Linked DNA regions of Cricetulus griseus. The protein of the gene in region 1 binds, or shares a complex with, the protein of each later gene. Links are inferred from orthologs where the notes say so. Each region holds a gene or a part of one and is shown on either strand. Other genes may lie near its edges.

Region 1 (5,668 bases):
GGACAGAATTCTGCTCCCGGCACCCATGTCAGGGTGGCACACAGCTGCCTGCCACTCCAGCTTCAAGGGACTTAATACCCTTTTCTGGTCTCCTGTGGCACCCTCTTCCCACACATACACATAAACAAAGTAAAATATTTAAAAAAGAAAATAGACTTGCAGCCACTTAGCTATCCGGAGTGAGGACTTTGTTTGGGGTTGTCTTGGTGAGGGCTCTGTGCATGCTAACCATGCACGAGACTACTGAGTTACATGCCTAGACTCCAGCAGAGAGTCTCTAGAAACCAACTTTAGCGTGTGAATGGATCTGTTAGGTCAGCTGCAAGATTTGAGGATTAATAAAGGAAGGCTAGGGCAGGTGGTACAGTTCCATAATCCCACGCTGTAACCAAGGAGGTGGGTGTAGGAGGATCAGGACTTCCAGGGCAGCCTCAGCTAATATTGCAAGTCCAAGGCCAGCTTTCGCCACAGGAGACTGTCTCAAGAAAAGGGAAGAGACTCTGGACTAGGGGTGGAGCTCTGCGGTAGTGTTTGCCTATCACACTTGAGGGAGGCCTGGGGTTTCACTCCCCCTTCTCCTTGACCCTGAGTAAGTTTCCCAGGGCTCTATAACACGGAATCTCCAAAGAAAGGGTGTTTAAATACTTTAGCAAGGCATTTTAGGAAACCCTTGTAGCTAGGTGGTGCCACATATCTGTCATCTCAGGCTCTGGTAGGTGTAGGATCAGGAGCTCAAGGCTAGCCTTGGGTACATAGTGAACTTGAGGCCAGGTTGGGCTACATGAGACCTTGTCTAAAGAAGAAGAAGAAAAGGAAGGCGAGGGGCACTCTTGAGTTGAGCAGGAATTCAGCTTTCTCCACCAGCTATTACACAAGTAGTCCATGAGAACTTTCTCTTCCAACTTCCTGCAGGGGTCGCTGCTGCCTTAGGCAGGGGCTGCTACCTCTGGCCCCAGCCAATTTCTTCTAAGAAAACTGGCGGTCTTTGCCTGTGTACACTCACTCTGGACCTGTTTTCAACCAAGGGGGCTACAGGATGGCAGTGCTTAGCGAATGGCATTTGGTGGGGGTGGTATAATGGGCACTATTTTTTTTTTTCTGTTTCTGGGTCACAAGTTTATTAAAATAAAAGAAACTGTGGGTAAATGCTGCCATCTGTGCTGCCCCCCCAACACACACACACACACACACACACACACACACACACACACACACACACACACACACACACACACGCACGCACACACCAGGTCCCAGACTAGACAGAGGGATTGAAACTGTTTTATAGACACTCCTCGGACTTCACTGAAAAACCTAACTCGCATACCTAGTGCCTGCAGGTCTTTGCAACTCATTCCTCAGCATCTCTGCTCAGGATGGTGGGGTGGGCTGCTCCAGCGGGTGGAGGTGAAGACCCCTAAGTCTGTTCTGGGGTTGGGAGGCCCCCTAAGCCTGAGTCCCGCTGTGGGGCTCTGAGCCAAGAGCCCCCGTGAGTCGTGGCCTCTAAAGGGCAGTGGTGATTTTTTTCACATAAATATATCGCACTTAAATGAATTTAGACAGCATGACATCAGAGAGTAATTAAATTGGTTTGGGTTGGAATTCCGTTTCCAATTCCTGAGTTCAGGTTTGTAAAAGATTTTTCTGAGCACCTGCAGGTTTGTGTGTGTGTGTGTGTGTGTGTGTGTGTGTGTGTGTGTGTGTGTGTGTGTAAGTATTTTCACTGGAAAGGATTCAAAATTAGAGGGAAAAAAAAAAAAAAAACTGGAGCGCTCAGGCAGCATTACGCCATTCTTCCTTCTTGGAAAAATCCCTCAGCCTTATACAAGCCTCCTTCAAGCCCTCAGTCAGTTGTGCGGGAGAAAGGGGGCGGTCGGCTTTCTCCTTTCAAGAACGAGTTATTTTCAGCTGCTGACTGGAGACGGTGCACGTCTGGACACGGGAGCATTTCCACTATGGGACTGGATACAGACACACGCCCGGCGGACTTCAAGGCGCTCAGACTGAGGAGAAAGCCCTGCCTGCTGCTGCTACTGCTGCCGCCGCCGCTGCTCCTGAAGACCCACTCCTTTCATGGTTTTTCCTGCCAAGCCAGAGACACCTTCGCTGCCGCTGCCTTTCTCTGTGGTGTCAGTCAGCGGCTGGCCAGAGGATGAGACTCCCCAAACTCCTCACTTTTTTGCTTTGGCACCTGGCTTGGCTGGACCTGGAATTTATCCGCACTGTGTTGGGTGCCCCCGACTTAGGCCAGAGACCCCCAGGGGCCAGGCCAGGGTTGGCCAAAGCAGAGGCCAAGGAGAGGCCACCCCTGGCCCGGAACATCTTTAGGCCAGGGGGTCATAGCTATGGTGGGGGACCCACCAATGCTAGGGCAAAGGGAAGCTCTGGGCAGACACAGGCTAAGAAGGATGAACCCAGAAAGATACCCCCCAGATCCGGTGGGCCTGAAACCAAGCCAGGACCCCCTTCCCAGACTAGGCAGGCTGCAGCACGGACCGTATCCCCAAAAGGACAGCTTCCTGGGGGCAAAGCCTCCTCAAAAGCAGGATCTGCCCCCAGCTCCTTCCTGCTGAAGAAGACCAGGGATCCTGGGACCCCTCGAGAACCCAAGGAGCCGTTCCGCCCACCCCCCATCACACCCCATGAATACATGCTCTCGCTGTACAGGACGCTGTCCGATGCTGACAGAAAGGGACGCAACAGCAGCGTGAAGTTGGAGGCTGGCCTGGCCAACACCATCACCAGCTTTATTGACAAAGGGCAAGGTGAGGGGGTGGGGTGGCAGGGAGGGGCATTTGCACAGACCCAGGAGTTCCAAAGTCCTGGAGTTCGCAGGTGGGGAACAGTGTGTATATCCAGGCTAGGGTGGGAGTCTGGAACTTACACATACCAGGTCCAGGATTAGGGACGCCTAGGGATCACCAAGTTAAACTCCTGCGAGGTGCAAAATGGGCACTGAAGTGCAGAGAGGAGCTCAGATCTGGATGCTAGACTCCAAAGTCCACTCTTGATTACTGGGTCATACTTTTGTGGGGGTTGCAACGCTCAAGTTTGTACGCCCCAGCTTTTCCTCAGATAGCAGAGAGAAAGAGACTTTAGGTTCCTGTGGGTCTTCAGCTCTAACCTCAGGGAGGGGGCGAAGGGGTAGGATTTGGGAAGACCAAAAGCATGTCGTCTTGGAGTCGCAGCTGACCTAGGGACTAACTCACACTGTGACCCTAGAAGTCCCTTCTTCCCTGGGGTCTGTTTTCCTGTGTGTGTACTACATGCGCCTTGGACTAGGTGAAGTCTGAGCACTTTGAATGCCAAAGCCTTGAGTCCTATCCTAACCCATATGGCTCTCCTCTAACCTGGGAGAATACTTGTCTTCCCTGCTTCTCTGGAGGTCTGCCCACCTAGTGTTACTGGCTCAGCTCTTGCTCTCAACTTGCTGTGTGTTCCCAGCAAATCCCTTCCCTTCTCAGAGCCTCAGGTTCGCCACAGTGCGGAGCTGGCTGGACCGCTGGCAGTTGGTGAGGTGTCTTGCAGTTCAGTCTCAGGTTCACAGTCTTGGGACTTTGGCGGGCAGGGTGGGGGAGGGGCCAGAGAGTGGGAGAGCCTCCTCATTAGAGCTGGTCTGTAGGGGAATGACAGGGCGTGGGGGAGGTACAGAGGCAGCAGGTCTGGCAGAGGTGGGGGAGGTGGCCTGGCGTCGTGCCCAGCCAAGGAAAGCTGTGACCCCTCTAGGGCTCATAAAATAAGTCCTTGTGTCCCCCCCAGCACTAAGGGAGCTTGGGGAGGGGGAGATGGAGAGTTTAAAGGCCTAATTAGTTACCTTCTAGAGCAATATTTGAATATTCCCTAATGGCATATTGGCATTTAGGAAGGAGGGCATGCTGATTCAGAGATAATCACTGAGCTACACACACACACACACACACACACACACACACACACACACACACAGAGCCTTGTATTTTATACACATGGTAAACGAATCACAAACATGCATACATACATATATCATCATTTTTCAAGTACTCATTGAAGCCCAACTGTACTTGCATGTGCCAATAGCATATATATTACTTTATACTCACTCGGGAACCCAATTGCACACGCGAATGCGCGCGCGCGCGCGCGCGCACACACACACACACACACACACACACACACGAACCACACTCATGGACACAAAATTGTCAGACTGGAAACTAGGGAAGTTGAGTTGCAGATGGGCTTTGTTATTAATCTGCTGTGTTACCTACATCAATTTACTCCCCAACTCTGTGCCTTGCCCAGAACAAAAACGCTAAGGTCCTTCAGGTGGAGGAAGCTCGAAAGGAGTATTGAAGTTCTAGGCTACAGTTCTATTTCTACTTTCCCCCAGGTAGAGGACATTGAATGAGTCCCCTAACTTACTCTGAGCGGCAGGTTCCTCCTCTGGAAGAGTGGGTAGTTTAAATGCACATATCACCTGTCTTACGTATGGGAGATAATAATGTGCTCATGGGTGGGGCGGACACCGGTATACTGTTTGATGGCTCTCATACAGATCACGAATGGCGAGGGCACTGAGATCGTGCAAAGTGGCACACCTACCTTCATTTGGAAAAGGGCTCTTGGTGGTTTGGGTGTTGGCTTTGGCCATAGTGGGGAAGAGGTTAAAGGAATGTCTTTTGAGTGGGAGAGAGTTAGGTCCTCCCTGGAGGCTCCGAGGTGGCAGGCTAGACTATCTTGGTGAAGTGACAAGAATTGACTTCCGGCTGTTTTCTCCAGATGACCGAGGCCCTGTGGTCAGGAAGCAGAGGTACGTGTTTGACATCAGTGCTCTGGAGAAGGATGGGCTGTTGGGGGCTGAACTGCGGATCCTACGGAAGAAGCCCTTGGACATGGCCAAGCCAGCGGTCCCCAGTAGCGGGCGGGTTGCCCAGCTGAAGCTGTCCAGCTGCCCCAGCGGCCGGCAGCCGGCAGCCTTGCTGGATGTGCGCTCCGTGCCAGGCCTGGATGGATCTGGCTGGGAGGTGTTCGACATCTGGAAACTCTTCCGAAATTTTAAGAACTCAGCACAGCTGTGCCTGGAGCTGGAGGCCTGGGAACGGGGCCGGGCTGTGGACCTCCGCGGCCTGGGCTTTGAACGCGCTGCCCGACAAGTCCACGAGAAGGCCCTGTTCCTGGTGTTTGGTCGTACTAAGAAACGGGACCTGTTCTTTAATGAGATTAAGGCCCGCTCTGGCCAGGATGACAAGACTGTGTATGAATACCTGTTCAGCCAGCGGCGGAAACGGCGGGCCCCACTGGCCAATCGCCAGGGCAAGCGACCGAGCAAGAACCTCAAGGCTCGCTGCAGTCGCAAAGCTTTGCATGTCAACTTCAAGGACATGGGCTGGGACGACTGGATCATTGCACCCCTTGAGTACGAAGCCTTCCATTGCGAAGGACTATGCGAGTTCCCCTTGCGCTCCCACTTGGAGCCCACAAACCATGCAGTCATCCAGACCCTGATGAATTCTATGGACCCTGAATCCACACCACCCACCTGCTGTGTGCCCACACGGCTGAGTCCCATTAGCATCCTCTTCATTGACTCTGCCAACAACGTGGTGTATAAACAGTACGAGGACATGGTCGTGGAATCTTGTGGCTGCAGGTAGCAGCACCGGCCCTCTGTCTTCCAGGGTGGCACATC
Region 2 (5,742 bases), on another chromosome or scaffold:
CGAGACCCAGAAGCTTAAGACTTTTGTATGTATTGATGAGGGGGAGGGAGGATTGTTGCATAAACTAGCATCATGGAAACGGTGGAGATGGGGTGGACAGCTGCAGAGATTCCAGCTGGACAGACAGAATAAGCCCTCCTCCCAAACAATTGTGTTCTCCGATTTCTCCTCCGGACAGCTGAGCCTTTCAGCTCCTGAAATACTCGGCAGAGACAGGGAGGGTCCATGAATGAGGCTTGCTGTCCACCTTCAAAGCCAGACACCACCACATACCATCGGTGGAAACTCAATGGGATACTCAGTATAGAGTAAATGAAAGACAGTCAACAGCTCCCTGCCATTCTTAAAGGCCAGGAGCTCATTACTGAGAATGCAGGAGGAGCAGAGTGGCCACGAAGAGAGAGAGCACACAAGCTGGAGTTGGATATCTGACTTGGCTGTCATGTTTCTTTACTCTCTCCCTCACTTGGTACCCAACATTCCATATTTCATCCATTCTGCTTATCGTCCTCACTGCCTTCACTCCCACACCCTACTGCCACCAACGCTCCTGGAATTTTGGACTTAGCTATTTTTAAAACTGTCAACTCAGTGGCCACCTCCCTCCTCCTCTCAGCTGTCGAGTCCTGGGGCCAGCCATTTACTCTCCCTTCCCCCTCTCTCCACACCAAACCTTCTCTGGCTCTCTGACCTCAGTAAGATTACAGCCAGTCTGGGGTACTGGGAGAGACATGGAGAAAGAGACGGGGGACCCCTGGTTGGAGCAGACCAACAGCATAGGCAACTATGGCTGGAGAGTCGGGTATCAGAGTCATGTTTGACCTCGGGAAACAGTAAGTCCAGATGAAACTGAAATTGCTTTGATAAGCGTTGGGTTGAGGCTAGAATTTCATAAAATTACAGACATCTGTTCTGAAAACTAGGATTTCTCCTTACCAATACCCCACCGCCACTCTTCCTGCCTCATTGTTTTGGTTTCCAAGCCATGTCTACTTGGAGTTTAATGCTGCCTCTTCTCCGGCCCTTATTTCCCTCTGCACTTTATTACACTGAGACTTTGGAGTGGGAGTTGGGGGATAATGCTGGGAACTGAACCCTTGAGCATGGTAAACACTCACCTATCACTGAGTTACACTCCCAGCCTCTAACTCAAGACCCCTTGCAGGACTCTTGCCCAATTATATATAGACTTACTCCAAAGAGTGGATTTTGGCAGGAGAAAGGGAGAGAGATCCTCCCCAATACCTGCCCCCCTTAAAAGACCAGGAACTTCAGGATTTGCAAAGGCTGGAGGGGGTGCACGGGGGATAATAGAAAGAGTTGTTCTTCAGGAAAAAAAATATTAATTTAAATGCTTGGTTTGTATCCTATGTGATGAGAGAGGGATCATAATGCCAGTCGTCTAGGGTGGCTAAGAGACTGATTCCCTTTTCACTGGAAAAATGACATTCTAGAAGGCACTTGTCTAAGATATTTACCCTTTGTGCCCTTCTAACACAATGAAGAAAAAGACATGGCAGGTGGCCGGCCTCTCGTGATTGGGAGTTACATATAAAAGGTATGTTTTTAAAGCATTTTCAGATCCCAAGGCTTCAGGAGAACCCGCTGAAATGATCAGGAACTCACTTTCCCCAGGAATCCCTCCATTTCTGACAAATCTGCTATTTGGTAGTCAGGATGAGGCAATACTGTGGACTCTGCCCACGGAGGTCATTCAACCTTCCCTCCACCCCCACCTAGGGGTATTGCACAAGGGACCTGAAGGTGGCCACAGGAGCAGGGCTCAGAGGCTCACTAGCCAAGCTCACCATCTGGAAGCCTCCTGCTTCCCAAGCTCCAGTCTGTATAATTGTTGTCTTGATCTCCCCAGATTCTCTCCACACCATCTTGACCCGTCTTCAACCCTTCTCTTTCCCCACACCCAGTCAAATTTCTTTTTCCAGTCACAGAACTGCCTGTCGAAATTCACTAGGTAGGAGGTTCATCAGCTGGGAAGAACCCGCGCCTGGGGGGATCTGGCTGGATAGGTATGGGGGATCGAGGCCAGCCTCTTAGTCCCTGGTTCCCCCATGGCGGTCCCCCAACTCTAAGCACCCTCATTCTACTGCTGCTCCTCTGTGGACAGGGTAAGGAAGGGTTAGGGAAGGGTTGGGCACCTCTAGATGGTAGGCTGCCGGGTAGGGGTGGGCATGCCAGCATCAGTGAGTGAGGGCGAAGGGGTGCTGAATCCCAGTCACTCTGAAAGAGGCCTGTCTTGTTTCCCCGTTTAACTGGAGGAAGGACACATATGGAGTCCTTGGACCGTAAGGGGGAAAGGTCCGACTGGATTACACGCTTTTTAGTAGAGAAAAAGAGGGAAGGAGGCGAGGAGGAGGGGGCTGAAGGTTGGGACTGGGAAAGCGCCCACTCTGGGTGCTAGGAAGAGCTGGGATGGAGGATGCCTTTTGGCAATTAGGCGCGTTCTGGACTTGGCTAGAACCTACGTCTGGGCACCGTCTCACTGTCCTCCTCTCCCTTCCGTCCTCAGCTCACTCCCAGTGCAAGATCCTCCGCTGCAATGCCGAGTACGTCTCGTCCACTCTGAGCCTTCGGGAAGGGGGCTCACCGGGTACGCAGCGTGGAGGCGGCCGTGGTGGGCTGGCCTCGGGTGGCTTGTGTCGCGCCCTGCGCTCCTATGCGCTCTGCACTCGGCGCACAGCCCGCACGTGCCGCGGGGACCTCGCCTTCCACTCAGCGGTGCACGGCATCGAGGACCTGATGATCCAGCACAACTGCTCTCGCCAGGGCCCCACGGCCCCGCCCCCGGCCCGGGGCCCCGCCCTTCCCGGAGCTGGCCCAGCACCCCCGACCCCAGACCCCTGTGACTACGAGGCCCGGTTTTCCCGGCTGCACGGTCGGGCCCCGGGCTTCTTGCATTGCGCCTCGTTCGGGGATCCCCACGTGCGCAGCTTCTACCACCACTTTCACACATGCCGCGTCCAAGGAGCTTGGCCCCTTCTGGATAACGACTTCCTTTTTGTTCAGGCCACCAGCTCCCCCGTGGCATCGGGGGCCAACGCTACCACCACCCGGAAGGTCAGGGATTCAATTTCCCTCCTAATCCACCTTCTGAAATCCTCTCCCGGTCCACCGGGCACACCACTCCTTGTTCTCACTCCTCAGCCACCAAGCTCCTGGTTCCTTGTCTTCCCCAAATAGTCCCGCCCATCTTGAATGGCTGCCTCTTATCAAACATTTGCCCCTGTAGATCAGTTCCTCTTGATGGGGATTTTATTTAAAATGCAGGTAACACTGAGGAAGAAGCTGGGGTGGCAGCCAGGCTATGAGAACTGAGGAGTCAGAAGGGACACTTTATTTTCCTGGCTGAGATTGAGAAAAAAAAAAAAAAAAGGAATGAGGGGTTGGATAGGGGTCAGGTATTACTGGAAGGCAATAGGGGACCGGATCAAGGGCCGTGGAGACACCCTGCGTCTGCTGGGATCAGATCCCTAACAATAAAAGCTGCTTGATTGAGGGAAAGATAAACTGAGTCCTAATAAACTATTTTCCTCTTTGCCCGCACAGATTACCATCATATTTAAGAACATGCAGGAATGCATTGACCAGAAAGTCTACCAGGCCGAGGTGGACAATCTTCCTGCAGCCTTTGAAGACGGTTCTATCAATGGAGGTGACCGACCTGGGGGCTCGAGTTTGTCCATTCAAACTGCTAACCCTGGGAGCCACGTGGAGATCCGAGCTGCCTATATTGGGACAACTATAATCATTCGACAGACAGCTGGACAGCTCTCCTTCTCCATCAGGGTAGCCGAGGACGTGGCGCGGGCCTTCTCCGCTGAGCAGGACCTACAGCTGTGTGTTGGCGGCTGCCCTCCCAGTCAGCGACTCTCTCGCTCAGAGCGCAGTCGCCGAGGGGCTATAGCCATCGACACTGCCAGAAGGCTGTGTAAGGAAGGGCTTCCCGTGGAAGACGCCTACTTCCAATCTTGCGTCTTTGATGTTTCAGTCTCTGGTGACCCTAACTTTACTGTGGCAGCTCAGACAGCTCTGGACGATGCCCGAGTCTTCTTGCCGGATTTAGAGAAATTGCATCTTTTCCCCTCAGATGCAGGGCCTCCTCTCTCCCCAGCTACCTTTCTAGTCCAGCTTCTTTCAGGCCTCTTTGTTCTGTGGCTTTGCGTTCAGTAAGTAGGCCAGCAACCCTGTGACTAGTTTGGGACTGATTTGAGGGTAGAGGTTGGCGTGAGAAAACATTAAGATGGACCAGAGGAAGCAGTGGGGACAGGGAGATAGCGGAGACAATGACACTCACCCAGAACCAGATGGGGCTACAGTCAGGGACGCCTTGATCCTAGAAGAAGAATTCTGGGTTTTGCATTCCAGACCGTGGTAGGAGCTCTTCACCGTGAGTTTCCGCAGTCCCATGGGTAGAAAGCTCATTACTCCACTCCACACATACCTGATATCACTCCTACAAATCTAGAGATTGTGAGAGTGCTTGTGAGCAGCAAATCATTAAAGGGCTGGGATTTCTTAAAGGCAAGAACTAAAAATAGGAAGATGTGATTATCTTTAAGAAAGTCCGAAGAGAAGAAAATAATTAAGTTTTGGGGTTCAGAAATTAAGCGGGCATTGTCTAGCTCTTAGACAAAGGAAGTCAGCTTTTGGAGACTAGTACCAATATAGAAACTGGCATCCCCACCCCTTACCGATCTGTTATTAAAGCTATGAATTCTCCACACTGTCCTCTGTCACCTGTGTTGAGTCCCTTTACGGATGTGTGACCTGGAATTCGGACAATGAAAGATATCTCAGAGTTATCAGCTATCCTATCTGCCCTTTTGGAGTCCCCAGGCTATTAGACAAAACTGGTTCACAGGAAGGAATCATGATTATTTTTATTATTAATTATCATTTGCTTTTATTTTTAATGGAGCCTCTCCAGACTACCCTTGAACTGCTGGTCTGACTATCTCTACTGTTCTTATGTCTCTAAGTGCAAGCAAGCCAGAAGAGGGCACCAGATCTTATTAAGGATGGTTGTGAACCACCATGTGTAAGCTGGGATTGAACTCAGGACCACTGGAAGAGAGCCCGTGCTCTTAACCACTGAGCCATCTCTCCAGAAAACAACCACCACCACCACCTTCTTTTTTTCTGTTTTTGTTTTTTTCAGACAGGGTTTTTCTGTGTAGCTTTAGAGTCTGTCCTAGAACTTGCTCTGTAGACCAGGCTGGCCTTGAACTCACAGAGATCTGTCTCTGCTGCGAGTAAAGGCGTGTGCCACCACTAACTGGCTACACTTTTCAGTTCTTACTATTTACATTGTGTGTGTGTGTGTGTGTGTGTGTGTGTGTACTTTGCCCACTGTTGTAACTTAACTTACAGTAGGGCATTTTTTGTTGTTGTTTTTGTTTTGTTTTGTGTTTATTTTTGTTCTGGGGGGGTTGAGGCAGTTTCTCTTGGCCTTGAAGGCTGTCCTGGAACTAGCTCTTGTAGACCAGGCTGGTCTCGAACTCACAGAGATCCACCTGCCTCCGCCTCCTGAGTACTGGGATTAAAGGCGTGCGCCACCCCACTCCCCACCCCCAGTATGGGCATTTTAATGTCATTTTATTTAGTTTTCTTTTTTACAGGGTCTTAAATAGGCAGAGCTGGGCCGAAACTTGCTGTGTAGACAAGGCTGATGCTCCTGCTTCCATCTCCCAAGTTTGGGGACTACAAGCCTGCACCACCACACAG

What was found. Proteins that work in one complex are often made in the same cells at the same time.
Region 2: the proteins of growth/differentiation factor 5 (region 1) and hemojuvelin are in contact, whole or in part, in a crystal structure (PDB 6Z3L), measured with the Homo sapiens proteins. The link is inferred for Cricetulus griseus from reciprocal best matches to the Homo sapiens genes GDF5 and HJV. Residues at the interface, in NP_000548.2 of Homo sapiens: Met412, Trp414, Trp417, Phe478, Asp480, Ser481, Lys488, Tyr490, Met493; in NP_001366281.1 of Homo sapiens: Arg95, Arg98, Gly99, Leu101, His104, Ser105, His108.

Annotation. Positions count from the first base shown.
Region 1 is NC_048599.1:23,651,733-23,657,400, forward strand, and holds the start of growth/differentiation factor 5, read left to right. Parts: upstream 1-1,792; 5' UTR 1,793-2,152; coding exon 2,153-2,765; intron 2,766-4,758; coding exon 4,759-5,633; 3' UTR 5,634-5,668. UniProt on the Homo sapiens protein: Growth factor involved in bone and cartilage formation. During cartilage development regulates differentiation of chondrogenic tissue through two pathways.
Region 2 is NW_023276806.1:59,965,784-59,971,525, reverse strand, and holds hemojuvelin, read left to right. Parts: upstream 1-2,029; coding exon 2,030-2,126; intron 2,127-2,527; coding exon 2,528-3,075; intron 3,076-3,564; coding exon 3,565-4,188; 3' UTR 4,189-4,342; downstream 4,343-5,742. UniProt on the Homo sapiens protein: Acts as a bone morphogenetic protein (BMP) coreceptor. Through enhancement of BMP signaling regulates hepcidin (HAMP) expression and regulates iron homeostasis.